3 linked regions of the Nothobranchius furzeri genome follow. The protein of the gene in region 1 purifies or fractionates together with the protein of each later gene. This does not show direct contact. Links are inferred from orthologs where the notes say so. Each region holds a gene or a part of one and is shown on either strand. Other genes may lie near its edges.

Region 1 (3,651 bases):
AACTACCTGTGTGTGTTTACCACCCAGCTGCAGCTCTTCTGTGGTTGGGTCTGACCCAAGTTAGTAAATGTGAGTCCTCCATCAGATTTGTGCCTCTTCTAGTGTCATTTTAAAGGATTTTATTTATTTATTTATTTAACCGTTACTAGATTAGCAGCAACAGAAATGCTACTAAAAACACACAATTATGTGAAGCTGGAAAAATTAAAATGCTGTGCAAAATTACATTCATTTCTGTAATTTAACTAGACTGAGAGACCATTTAAAGGCCTGGGAACCTTTACAGGTGTTTCTATTTGCAATTTTAAATTTTAGCTGATTGGGGTCTTGTTAAATATCACACCGTGACCTTTTATTAGTCTAGATAAGTGTAATGTTCCTATTTGTAGTTCCTCCTGTTAAGTGCCTATTTAAATTATTCAGGTTTATAAAAAACATTTAGACATACATTTTATTATGTTCCAGTCATTAGTCATTTATATTTCACTATTGTAGCAATTTATAGTAAATTAAGTTCAATTAACCCATTTTTCTTGCATCCTTTAATGAAAAAAGTAACTAAGTAGTTATTTTTCTTGGTAATTAGTTACTTTTATAATCTCTTAACTCAGTAACTGAGTTACTTTTTTGACAAAGTAATTAGTAACTAAAACTAATTACTTTTTAAAAGTACCTTTCCTAACACTGGTTAATTGCATTTTAACTACAAACCTTTGAAATAACAAAACAAATATGTCTGTATAATCTTAGTACTGCACGTTTGATGTCAAATGAAAATGTCATTGCACATTAGTGGTTCTAGACATCTGAAATTAAAGCGTTGGCCTTTTTTATTTTTAGTAACTTCTTTATTCCCAGCTAATTTAATATCTTATTTTAATGCTTTGGTTGAGAAACAGTAACAGGAGGTTTTGACTTTTTAAGCACTGAGCTTGTAGGTATTTGTGCAGGAATGATGGGTTATCATGTTCTGCAGGAGTTTGCCAGCGCATGCTCTGCCAACACTGAGACAAGCAAGGTCGGCGGGTCGTTGGAGACCAAATACAAGTGGTCTGAGCATGGACTCACCTTCACAGAGAAATGGAACACGGACAACACTCTGGGGACGGAGATCACCGTTGAGGACCAGGTGATGTGGTGAAAATGGATTAGGAGTTTCCAAACAGTGATTTGTATTATAGTTTTTCTGTCTACACTGTGGCACATTCTCAGTTTTGGCTTCATTTCCTGTTTGTCCGACAGTTGACTAAAGGGCTGAAGCTTACGTTTGAGTCCTCTTTCTCTCCAAATACTGGGTAATGACTTTAGTCACAACTATTCTAACGGCGAATCCATCCTTTAAGTACATTATCATGAAGGGTTGAGTTATTATTTATTTATTTTTGTTCTTTTGTACCCCAAACATGCCACCAGCAAGAAAGGTGGCAAGTTCAAGACAGGCTACAAGTGTGAACACATCAACCTGGGCTGCGACGTCAACTATGACATTAACGGTACAGCCATTCACGGCGCTGGCGTGATATGCTACGAGGGCTGGCTCGCCGGTTACCAGACGACCTTTGAGGCCGGCAGGAACAAGATCACCCAGAGCAACTTTGCTGTTGGATACAAGACCGATGAGTTCCAGCTGCATACAAATGTGTAAGATGCAGCATGTTCAACCACCAGCACACGTGTGCACAATACATAATGCATTTTTAAACTGCATACAGGCTTTTCTATAACTTTGGTTTGAAGTTTCTCCTTGCTGCCCGTTCAGCTTTCTGTCAAATGCCAGGGTTTTTTACTCTTCATAGTGATGATAGGAGATAGAAGTGGTTTGCTGTGAAAGGACAGAGGGGTGTGGTGTCAGACAGGGAGCGGAACGGATTGGGGCTTGTTCCTGCTGTGCCCCCCAGGTAAAGCCTGTCAGTTACAGTCTGCAGCAGAAGCGGTAATGTGAGGTCAGACAAAGGTTAACGTAGGCTTTTCATGAGGCTGAACACTTCAGTTGGATGTGCCATCACTGATGGAAGCAGGACCGATATGCACATTCTAAGATTTTGGAGCTTCATATTAGGGATGTAAGAGAATATCGATATGGCAATATATCGTGATATTTTCCCAGCAATATTATATCGATATTCAAAAGCAGTGTATTGGAAATATCGATATGGCAATATATCGTGATATTTTTTCCTGCGATTATTACATCGATATTCAAAAGCCGTGTATCTAATTCCTGAAAGAATTTACATGCAAACATTTGTGTATTTTCTTTTCGTTTTGCGCAATTCAATCGCCAACTGCTAGTTGGCAGCAGTGTGCAGCGGGTTTTGTTTCCACCATTGAAATGTAAATCCCTCCATCATGGTTTAGATACCTCATGTTAAACATGTTACGTATCAGTTTGAACTGTTTATTGAACATTCTTACAATAAGTTCAGTAAAAATAATTGCTTGTAACGTTTGACTGAATGTATCGCAATATATCGTGATATATCGTATAATTTCCCCTGTATCGTGATATGTATCGTATCGCCAGAATTTCAAAAACACACATCCCTACTTCATATATATATTTTTTAAGCTTGCATGATCATTCCAAATAACATATCTGTATCATAATCTAATAACATTAGTCACAAACGGCTGTGTTTCACAGAAATGATGGCACAGAGTTTGGTGGTTCCATCTACCAGAAGGTGAATGAAAAGCTGGAGACAGCTGTGAACCTGGCCTGGACTGCTGGAAACAGCAACACCCGCTTTGGAATTGCTGCCAAGTATCAAATCGATCCCGATGCATCTTTCTCCGTGAGTAGCCTGTCTTTGAAGTGGCAGTAGCAATGGCGATGCAGTCCACCCCTAACCCTATTAACAAGTTGAATTAAAGTGCACCACAGTTTGTAGGTCTAGTGGTGTCTGGGTCCCATGCTGGGTGAGACGACTGTAAGCTTCAACTTCATTCAAGTAAAACAGCCCTTTGCTAATTTTGGCCTGTTCATCACATTAGTGGTAAATCCCCCTTGTAGCCAAGCCCATTAGTGTGACTGGTTGATTACTGGGGCCGTATTGGACTGACGTTGTATTCGTTTTTATCTGTTTACTGGTATTAATTCAAATTGCAACTAAATAATAGAAATTAATGAAAATATTTTAATAAATGTAGGAATTAGAGCTGTAGCTCTCTTAAAGCCTTTCACGTTTTAATCAAAGTTCTTTACAAACAGATGATTTTTTTAACTGTTTTGAAAGAAGATAAGAAGCTTTAGAATATATTTAATGTTGGCATTTACATAAAAAATCTGTTTTTAGCCCAAAACATTCTTTAAAAGAAGCTTTTAGGTGATAAATGTCATCACCATTGTGGAAAAACATAAAAAAAAATTGCCAGCAGTTCTCATGGAATAAAGTGTTGAAAGCCTGGTGTAGCATGATGTCAGAGGAAGCCCTTTGCTTGGTGACATCTATGGGATCCAGGCTTTAGGCCATCATGGCCTTCAGTAGATTCTCTACTTTAATGATCAATCTTTTCACAGGCTAAGGTGAACAACTCCAGCCTTGTGGGACTGGGCTACACTCAGACTCTGAAGCCAGGTGAGTTGGTCATTTAAAGACAATACGCCTAAATGCACTGAGTTCACACCGATCAATGTTTTATTGTAGGGAT
Region 2 (4,318 bases), on another chromosome or scaffold:
TAAGCAGCTTTTATGCCCTTGATGTCACCTGAACAAATTCAAATGCAAGTTTGGCAGTACAACTGAATAATTCTGTTCATCTTACAGCGCACAAATACTATTCTAGTTTCATATCTATGTTCACAACAGCTTGAAATGGCTAACCTAGCTTAGCTCACACAGACGTTAGCGCCTGCTAACACAGAAATAAGGACAGTGTATGAATCTGGCTGTCAGACCTATAAAACGTTTGAAATGGTCAAAAATAATAGCTGTCTCATTATAACCGGAGTGCAAAGCGTGCAGGTTCAACTTTTACTTACTTCAGAGGAAAGATCGCCAGGACGCTGCGCCATCTTTTCCTGCCGTCTCCCGGGTTTGAATCCTTTTTCCAGTCAGACAACCACTCTGCCATCTAGTGGTCATTTCTTTTAACACATTAAGTTTTCATGGATCATAAACACATATATGTCTAAATAAACAATTTTACATTATTAAAAAGTAAATTTAGGTCTATATTTTATAACTACAGAATCCTGGGTTGTTGTAATTGTATATATGTGTGTGTCTATGGTGTGTGTGTATTTATATATATGTTTAATGTGTGCGTGTGCGTGTGCGTGTGTGTGTTATTTACATGAGTGCTCCAGCCTGCCGGCTTCATATACAATATATGTCCTAGAGCTGGTGAGCAGATTGATTATAAAAGCCAGCAACACAGGAGCTACAACCAGAGGAGTAGCCAACAGAGACTGTAAAACACCAAAATACAAAACATCATTTGGTCAATCCTCGTTCTCATTTAAAGAACCTCAGATCTGGAACAATCTACCATCAACAAAAAAACTGTGACACTTTACAACTTTTAACTCCCAGGCAAAAAAGTGGCTGAAACAAACTCAAACTTGTAAGCACTGATGTTTCTTAGTCAAACTAATTTATCTGCTTTGTGTGTGTGTGTGTGTGTGTGTGTGTGTGTGCGTGCGTGCGTGCGTGCGTGTGTGTGTGCGTGCGTGCGTGCGTGTGTGTGTGTGTGTGTGTGTGTGTGTGTGTGTGTGTGTGTGTGTGTGTGTGTGTGTGAGAGAGAGAGAGAGAGAGAGAGAGAGAGAGAGAGAGAGAGATGACAAATGTTATAAATGATGTTATTTTGATTATATCTAAAAGTCAAACCAAGGACTAGGTTTGCAAATTAGCCTCTGGCTAGAAAACCTCTGTACAAAGCAAAGCAACGGTTGCATTGCCATTACATGCAACAATTGTCTCTTGTGCTGTCCTTGTTCAAGAAAGCAAATAAATAAAATAAAGAATATTTTTGCATGGATTGAACCTATGCGTCAATAGATCAAAATGTACTTTTTTAAGACACAGCGAAATCTGTGCAATGACGACAGAGCCAGTAGTTAGCACTCTAATATTCATTTCCACATCTGTCATTGTAATGAAATACACCTTTGAGTTTTCGAGCTGAACATGAACGCATCATTCTGTAGCGTGGCGGGGGCGGACCGTATGACGTTGAGCCGAGACTCTTGCTGTTTATTGTTCCTTCCTGAGAACCGACACAGAAAAACAGGCTAACGAGCTGTCAGACACTCTTCTTAGACGGTTCGCACTTGGTTTTACGAAGGTGTAACGGTTGAGACAGCTGACTGCAAACCCTAGAGGCCATGGCGTATGCATATCTCTTCAAATACATCATCATCGGGGACACGGGTAAGCTGCAGTTAGCGTTTAGCTAGTATTTAGCTGCTAGCGGCGTATTTCCGCAGTGTTGGATAGTCCAATGACGTGGGAAAAGCAGAGACGCAAGGGGTGGGATGACAGCTCTAATTCTTCCCCAATAAGTTACCTGTTTACTTCAAAAATTCTCACTGGCGGTATCAGAACAGTAAAAGAGGAGTTCAGTCACGATTTTTCCCGTCCACACTATAATGTAGCCGTTGTGGACATACTGTTAGATGTTTTGGCCTTTTGTCCATTGACGTGTAGGGTGGGGGTGTTAGCCTCAGCTTGCTAACCAAACCAGTCAATGTCCACCCAACACCTGTCACGACATCAAATTAACATCCTAATCTGTGTCCATACATACAGGCCTCAAAAGCATGTTTGCGTTATAGAGCCACCCATCGTCAATAACACTGTTACCATTAGCTTAGCTTTAGGCCTAAAGCCTCGGATGTAGCCTGAAATGGCGTAGAAATCTCAGACTTGATCCAATGTCTCCTGTTAACACGACGTTTATATTTTACGAGGCTGTGTGAATTTGTAAGGTGTTGTTTCCTAAACATGTCCAGTGATTAAGAGATAATAGCCTCAATTCACTTTTACTAGGATGCTCTGATGAGGGGCCTGTTGAGTTAACTTGCGGGATGACAGCAGGTGCATTACAAATACCGCTGTTTTATTAAGATGTAGCATCATTGTCAGACTAGCTGACTGGTTTGATGGCAGTAAAGTAAAACAAAAGGGCTCAGGATCATTCACATCAAAGAAATTGGAGATATTCCGTCTAAAGCAGTCAATTTTACTTTTTAATATTTTATATTTTATATATATATATAATAGGGTCTCTAATGACCTTCTGACTCACGGTGATGCAGGGGACTGTTCTGTTCTGGTCCTGCTGGACCTGACTGCAGCCTTTGACACCGTTGACCATCACCTGCTAGTGGAGAGGCTGAGAGACTGGGTAGGCCTATCAGGAACTGCTCTGGAGTGGATCTCCTCTTATCTTTCTGAGCGCTCCTTTTCTGTGGCCGTCTCCAAGTTTAGGTCCTCCACCACCTCTCTTACCCATGGTGTCCCACAAGGTTCTGTGCTTGGGCCTCTGCTCTTCCTCCTCTATCTGCTTCCTCTTTAGCACATCCTGAGCTTCTTCAAAGGAGTCTCCTACCATCTTTATGCAGATGACATCCAACTGTACATCTCCTTTAAGTCCCATGAGATGTCTAAGCTGCAGCTGTTACACACCTGCTTAGACTCTATCAAAACCTGGATATGGGAGCTTTCTACAGCTGAATGAAGATAAGACTGAGATCCTCATCTGTGCCCCAGACAAGCTGGTTCCCAAAGTCAGAGACTCTTCCTTCTTCCATCTCAGGAACATTGCTAAGCTGAGTCCCATTCTGTCCCGATCTGAATTTGAGACAGTTATACACACCTTCATCTCCTCACGCTTAGACTTCTGTAACTCTATTTTCACGTGTCTGAGAAGAACCTCCCTCAACCGTCTGCAGGTGGTTCAGAATGCTTGTGCTCGGCTTCTGACCAAGTCCTCCAAACACACCCACATCACCCCGCTTCTCCTCCAGCTTCACTGGCTGCCAGTCAACTTCAGGGTTCATTTCAAGATCCTGGTTCTGGTCTATAGGGCCTTACATGGACAAGCACCATCGTACATTGGTGATATTCTTAGTCCCTACACCCCCAGCAGGTCCCTGAGGTCCAGTGATCAAAGCCTACTGGTTGTGCAGCGCACCAGGCTAAAGACCAAAGGTGACAGATCATTTGCTGCTGTGGCCCCAGACTCTGGAACTCTCTCCCCCTGAGCCTGAGATCAGTGGACTCAGTGGTCTCCTTTAAAAAGCAGCTGAAGACTCACTTGTTCAAGCTGGCTTTTGTATGACCTTCTTCACCACTCTCTCTTTATTCTGCTCTCCCCACCTATTCCACCTTCCTCAGGATCCACTGATTTCCCTCTTTCCTATTCACTCTCTCTCTTTACATTTTTTTAATCACAATTGTCTATTATTTGCTAATTTTAAATATATTTTTAACCATTTTCTAAATTCTTTTTTATATTTTTACATTTTTTGTTTTTGTGAAGCGCCTCGTGACTTTTATCTTGAGAGACGCTATAGAAATGATACTTTCTTTTTCTTCTTCTTTTTCAATGAGGGCACCGATTAGACCAGTGATTATGTAGAAAATAATAAAATTGTAAAAGTTATACATCTAGAGGGAAGATTTCTCTCCCTGCTTTCTCTCACACAAATGTAAAACCATTGTAGGTCATTAATTAACCCCTTTGGTGGGCTGCATATTTATTACAGGCATCTTGCAAAACAGGATCATGTTGGGGATGTTGTTTATTTCTAGTACTGAATGTTGTGTTGAGCTGTAGCCAGGCTCCTAGCTTGGTTACAAGTATGTTTGTGCCACATACTCTCAGTTCTTATTAGGAGTGTAACGGTACACTAAACTTGTATTCGGTTCAGTTCAGTGTTTTGAAGGGCTCGGCTTGATTAATTTTCGGTACATTATTATTAGATGTATTTATTTATTTAATATCTGAAGCTGCTCCTATAGTGAGCAGAACCAGGTGTCATCACAGGCTGCT
Region 3 (4,364 bases), on another chromosome or scaffold:
CATGGACTTCGTGATCTTCTGGATGTTCTTGATGGACTTCAACCGAATGGTGACTAAAGAAAATGAGGAAGGAGTTTACAGCAGAAAAGTCTAAAGCTGCAGTTGGTGCATCTCTGCTCGACATAATGGTCTCCAACCAATAAAATAACTCCTAGTTCCGCAGATTTAAACTAATTATCGGATCTGACAACATACTAGAGCTGAAACAACTAATCGATTTAATCGATTATAATCGATTATTAAAATAGTTAACAACTTTTTTAGTCATCGATTAGTTGTTTAATAATCATATTTTACCGCATAAAGTCTATTTTTTACCACAATCTGACATCGGTTACAATCTGTTAAATTTGCCGCCAGTGTGTGGCAGTAATGAGCCACTGATCTACCAGTGGGGCCGTAGAAGAAGAAATTAGCCAATAAGTGCCCTCGGTTTTCATGACGTATCACGTTACTGACGCGCATCTTGCTGTGAGAGATGGCGGATCAACAACAAATACGGAAGAAAAATAGAAGCGACAAAACAAGAGAAACCCCGGACAAAAACCTCACGAGTATGGGAGCACTTCACTAGATGCCTTGAAAAGACCGGTGACCTGCAAAATATGCAAAAACCATGGCACGACGGAAGCACGACGTCCCTAAGTGAACATTTGAGATGAAAACATGTGGGAGCTGATGCAGCAGAGGAAAGTCCGGTAAGTAACAGAAAATAAACAAGCTAACGCAGATCACATTTGGGACTTAGTGTTAGCTGAGTTCGTTATAGTGGATGTTAAACATGTTTTTTTTTTTTTGCCGCGTCAGTCTACGGTGTTCTACTTCTGATTGACTAGATGCAATCGTGAATCTCCTCCGTGTTGTGAATCATGCGCTTGCCAAATTTAGCACGTCTGTTTATAAGAATGTTCTCGTTAAGAGAAAAACGGCACAAACCCATAACTGTGTTCCTCATTCAAAAAAGGACAACTCCGCGGAGAAAAATATACAGACGAGCTGTGTCCAGGTGAATATAACGCGGCATAGTTGTACGCTTTCAATTTTTAAATACAGGAGAAATTCAGAAAGTCCTTTTTTTAACTATTAAAAGGCTGTTTTACTATCTAACGCTGTAAAACGCCTCACAACACATTTTTGTCAAAATAAATGATCACTGTATATTGTTAATTAATTCAAATAATGTAATATTGATTTAGTGTTGTAGTGTGTGTGCTGCTTTATTTTATATGTGTACTTAATTCAGTTTATTTGTGTTTCTTATGCAGAAAAAAAACAAGCAACGATGGACAACTACATGGGGAACAAGACACTCACCCCCAGCAATGCATACCACTTACAAACTCTATTCCAGATTCTACATTATTTTTTATGGAATTTACCTCTTATATTTTGATGCCAAAAAATTATTCTGGACTGATATTTTGCACTGTTTAGCTCATTTTACACTGCTGACTGTGGTCATGTGCAATAAAATAGATTGCAGTCAACTGCACAATTCTCTTATGTTTTTCTTTTTCTTAACTGAAATGTATTCATCACTTGTATAGGTTAAATAGCTTAACAATAACAAACCGATTAATCGATTAATCGAAAAAATAATCGACAGATTAATCGATTATGAAAATAATCGTTAGTTGCAGCCCTACAACATACCTCCATTATTTTTATTATGATTCTACAGCATAGGGTCTAAGAATTTCTCCAAACTCAATCCTGATGGGAGAACCTTGTTTTGCACACTCACTCCGTGACTGGACCGGCAGGTTCTGGTAGCAGCTCTTCTCTGCTTTTATAGCAGCCGTATCTGACCAGCTTTTGCTAATGTGGAAAATCAGTTGATGCCTGCGTGCATTCTTAAATAATTCCTGCATGTGAAAACGACTTTTGATTTAGTTCTGTTCCTTGATAGGCCCGTGCATTTTAATTGACATCTGCATTAATTGTAGTGTAATAAAAATAAAATATCCCATAATTTATATTCACATTAATATACACTGATTTATGCATGTAAAAATAAAAAGGAGCTGTATCATAAATCATAGAACCCCTAAAATTAATATTTGACACATTTATGTTTAATTCTTTTTTTAAATCCTTTGTAAATATACTAATCTGAGCTCCCAATATGCATAAAATCAAGTGTGAACGTCTTACTAACTCGACTTGAACCCACTATTTTGATAAAACCTATTAAAACCTGTGTTGTACAAACACACCTTAGATTCTGCTCAGGTTACAGTCTTAATTTAAACAACAATATGATGTGAGTGTGAAGTATTCATCAGTACTTACTGTCCTTCAAGGTAGCCATGTTCCTGACCTGCCCACTGTAAACAACAATAATGCATGTGAGCAGACGCTGACGGGTTAACAACATGGTAAAAGGTCATTAACAAGTCTAGGGTTATGACCCGATGCTAACTGCTGTTAATTAAACACGATTTAACATTAAACAGGCAGCTATGCTAGCATTAGCACCTAGCCGGCTATGGAAATCCATTCGCACCGCCGTCATTCATCAGCCGCGGCCTACATGCTAGCACGTCCTTCCACGCAAAAGATTGCCCGCGTTACAACGTAGAAGCTGCCCACTCACTTCAAACAAGCCAAATCAATGAATTCATTAATAAAAGCGCAACAAGAGCAGTTGTCGAGGTATATTTGCGTTACCATTGTGGGGAAAAAACCAACGCGCTGGTCCTGGCGAACATGTTACCACTATGAAGGTCAGACACGCAGAACTGCGCAGGCGCAAAGAAAAGTCGGTGGTAACGGAGGTTGCCTTCAGTGAACTCTGGAAATTGTATTCACATCAAAATTCAAGGGAAATGCCGTAAGAAGCCTTTTTTAAATCACTGTTTTTGTGTGTTTTTTTTTTTGTTGCCAGTGTCGCACAATGAGAAGTTCAATAACTTCAATAATAAAAGCGAACATAATTATCAAAAAGCTATGTTCATTTCATTTTCACAAACAGTTATAGAAAGTCATTTGCCTTTTAAACAGGAAAACGTTTAGCCAAGTGAACTAGACCAAATTCATATATACAGGATAGCTTGCCATGCTAGAAAAATGTTTGGAATGTCTAGTAGAAATTAATCCTTGGTCTCAGACTGATTAACCTGTAAAGTTTACATTAATTTAAATTGAATTAATAAATGCTTGTTTTTTGGTGACTCAAATGTGGCGTCTATTGAATCCGATTAATTAATCATACAAATTTCAGTTACAACGAGTTTAAATGATATACGTAATTAATATTATTTAAAAATTACGAACAGTTCTTGAATGTTACACCAAGTATCGCGTGATTCTACGGTTTTTCGCGAGGTTAGAAGACGGAAACGGTTTGTCAGTTGTGTACTAGCAGCAGTTGATTGTTCTGTCGAATTTTTAGCCTTTAAGCGAGTGTTTTTTGCTGCAGTTGTTTGGTTTTAGTTTTCGCCATGGGAAAAGCAGATTTTCTGTCGCCGAAGGCCATTAGCAACCGAATAAAATCTAAAGGTCTCCAGAAGTTGCGGTGGTATTGTCAGATGTGTCAGAAACAGTGTCGAGATGAGGTGGGATTTTGATGAAATTCGACAAAAATGGTGTTATTCTCGATAATGGACGAATTAAAGTATTTGTTTCTGCCTTTTTTATTTATTTGTTTAACAGAATGGCTTCAAGTGCCACTGCATGTCAGAGTCCCATCAGAGACAGCTGCTGCTAGCTTCAGAGAACCCTATGAAGTTCATGGACTACTTCTCAGAGTCAGTTTATCACAGACGTGATGTAAAGACAAACACATCTGAATGTTTTTAGTAAAATGGAGCACATTTGTGTCGCTTCTCTTACAGTGAGTTCAAACGTGACTTCTTGGAGCTGCTCAGAAGGCGTTTCGGTGAGAATTGTGAACCATCTGCAGATGTGTCAGGGACATCTTTGTTCTGATTGTCCTCTTCGTTATCAGGAACCAAGAGAGTTCACAACAACATTGTCTACAACGAGTACATCAGCCACCGGGAGCATGTCCACATGAACTCCACGCAGTGGGAAACTCTCACCGACTTCACCAAATGGCTCGGCAGAGAAGGTAAAACGTCACTGATCAGAAAGCATCTGGGATTTTACAGGATCTCTGTCCACTTTCTGGATTTTTGTCTCCGTTACAGATGCTGTAAAAACAGGCAGAAATGAGGAAAAGAGACCAAGAAGTTGGGATTTGTAAATAAAATTCTCTGAACTGAAAATCAGACGGACAACTTTAAAAATATAGTTCATATTTTCATGATAATTTCTATAATTTGGAGAATATCCTTCAAATGAATATCATAGCCTCCTTTTTATTTAACAGTTTTTCAGTTTATCATTTGTAAAAAAAATTT

What was found.
Region 2: the proteins of vdac1 (region 1) and rab2a purify together in Homo sapiens (affinity purification with mass spectrometry; 3 studies listed by BioGRID and IntAct, with this or other methods). This does not show direct contact. The link is inferred for Nothobranchius furzeri from reciprocal best matches to the Homo sapiens genes VDAC1 and RAB2A.
Region 3: the proteins of vdac1 (region 1) and atp5f1c fractionate together in Homo sapiens (co-fractionation; 3 studies listed by BioGRID, with this or other methods). This does not show direct contact. The link is inferred for Nothobranchius furzeri from reciprocal best matches to the Homo sapiens genes VDAC1 and ATP5F1C.

What each region holds. Positions count from the first base shown.
Region 1 is NC_091750.1:59,851,174-59,854,824, reverse strand, and holds part of vdac1 (non-selective voltage-gated ion channel VDAC1), read left to right. Parts: intron 1-976; coding exon 977-1,129; intron 1,130-1,242; coding exon 1,243-1,295; intron 1,296-1,413; coding exon 1,414-1,641; intron 1,642-2,644; coding exon 2,645-2,795; intron 2,796-3,520; coding exon 3,521-3,578; intron 3,579-3,651. UniProt on the Homo sapiens protein: Non-selective voltage-gated ion channel that mediates the transport of anions and cations through the mitochondrion outer membrane and plasma membrane.
Region 2 is NC_091751.1:59,004,505-59,008,822, reverse strand, and holds the start of rab2a (ras-related protein Rab-2A), read left to right. Parts: upstream 1-1,473; 5' UTR 1,474-1,646; coding exon 1,647-1,692; intron 1,693-4,318.
Region 3 is NC_091741.1:35,930,769-35,935,132, reverse strand, and holds the start of atp5f1c (ATP synthase subunit gamma, mitochondrial), read right to left. Parts: upstream 2,806-4,364; 5' UTR 2,712-2,805; coding exon 2,671-2,711; intron 2,328-2,670; coding exon 2,293-2,327; intron 1,496-2,292; exon of another isoform or gene 1,266-1,495; intron 699-1,265; exon of another isoform or gene 624-698; intron 54-623; coding exon 1-53. Other genes in the region: kin (DNA/RNA-binding protein KIN17), read left to right, coding at 3,444-3,557, 3,655-3,749, 3,837-3,880, 3,950-4,072.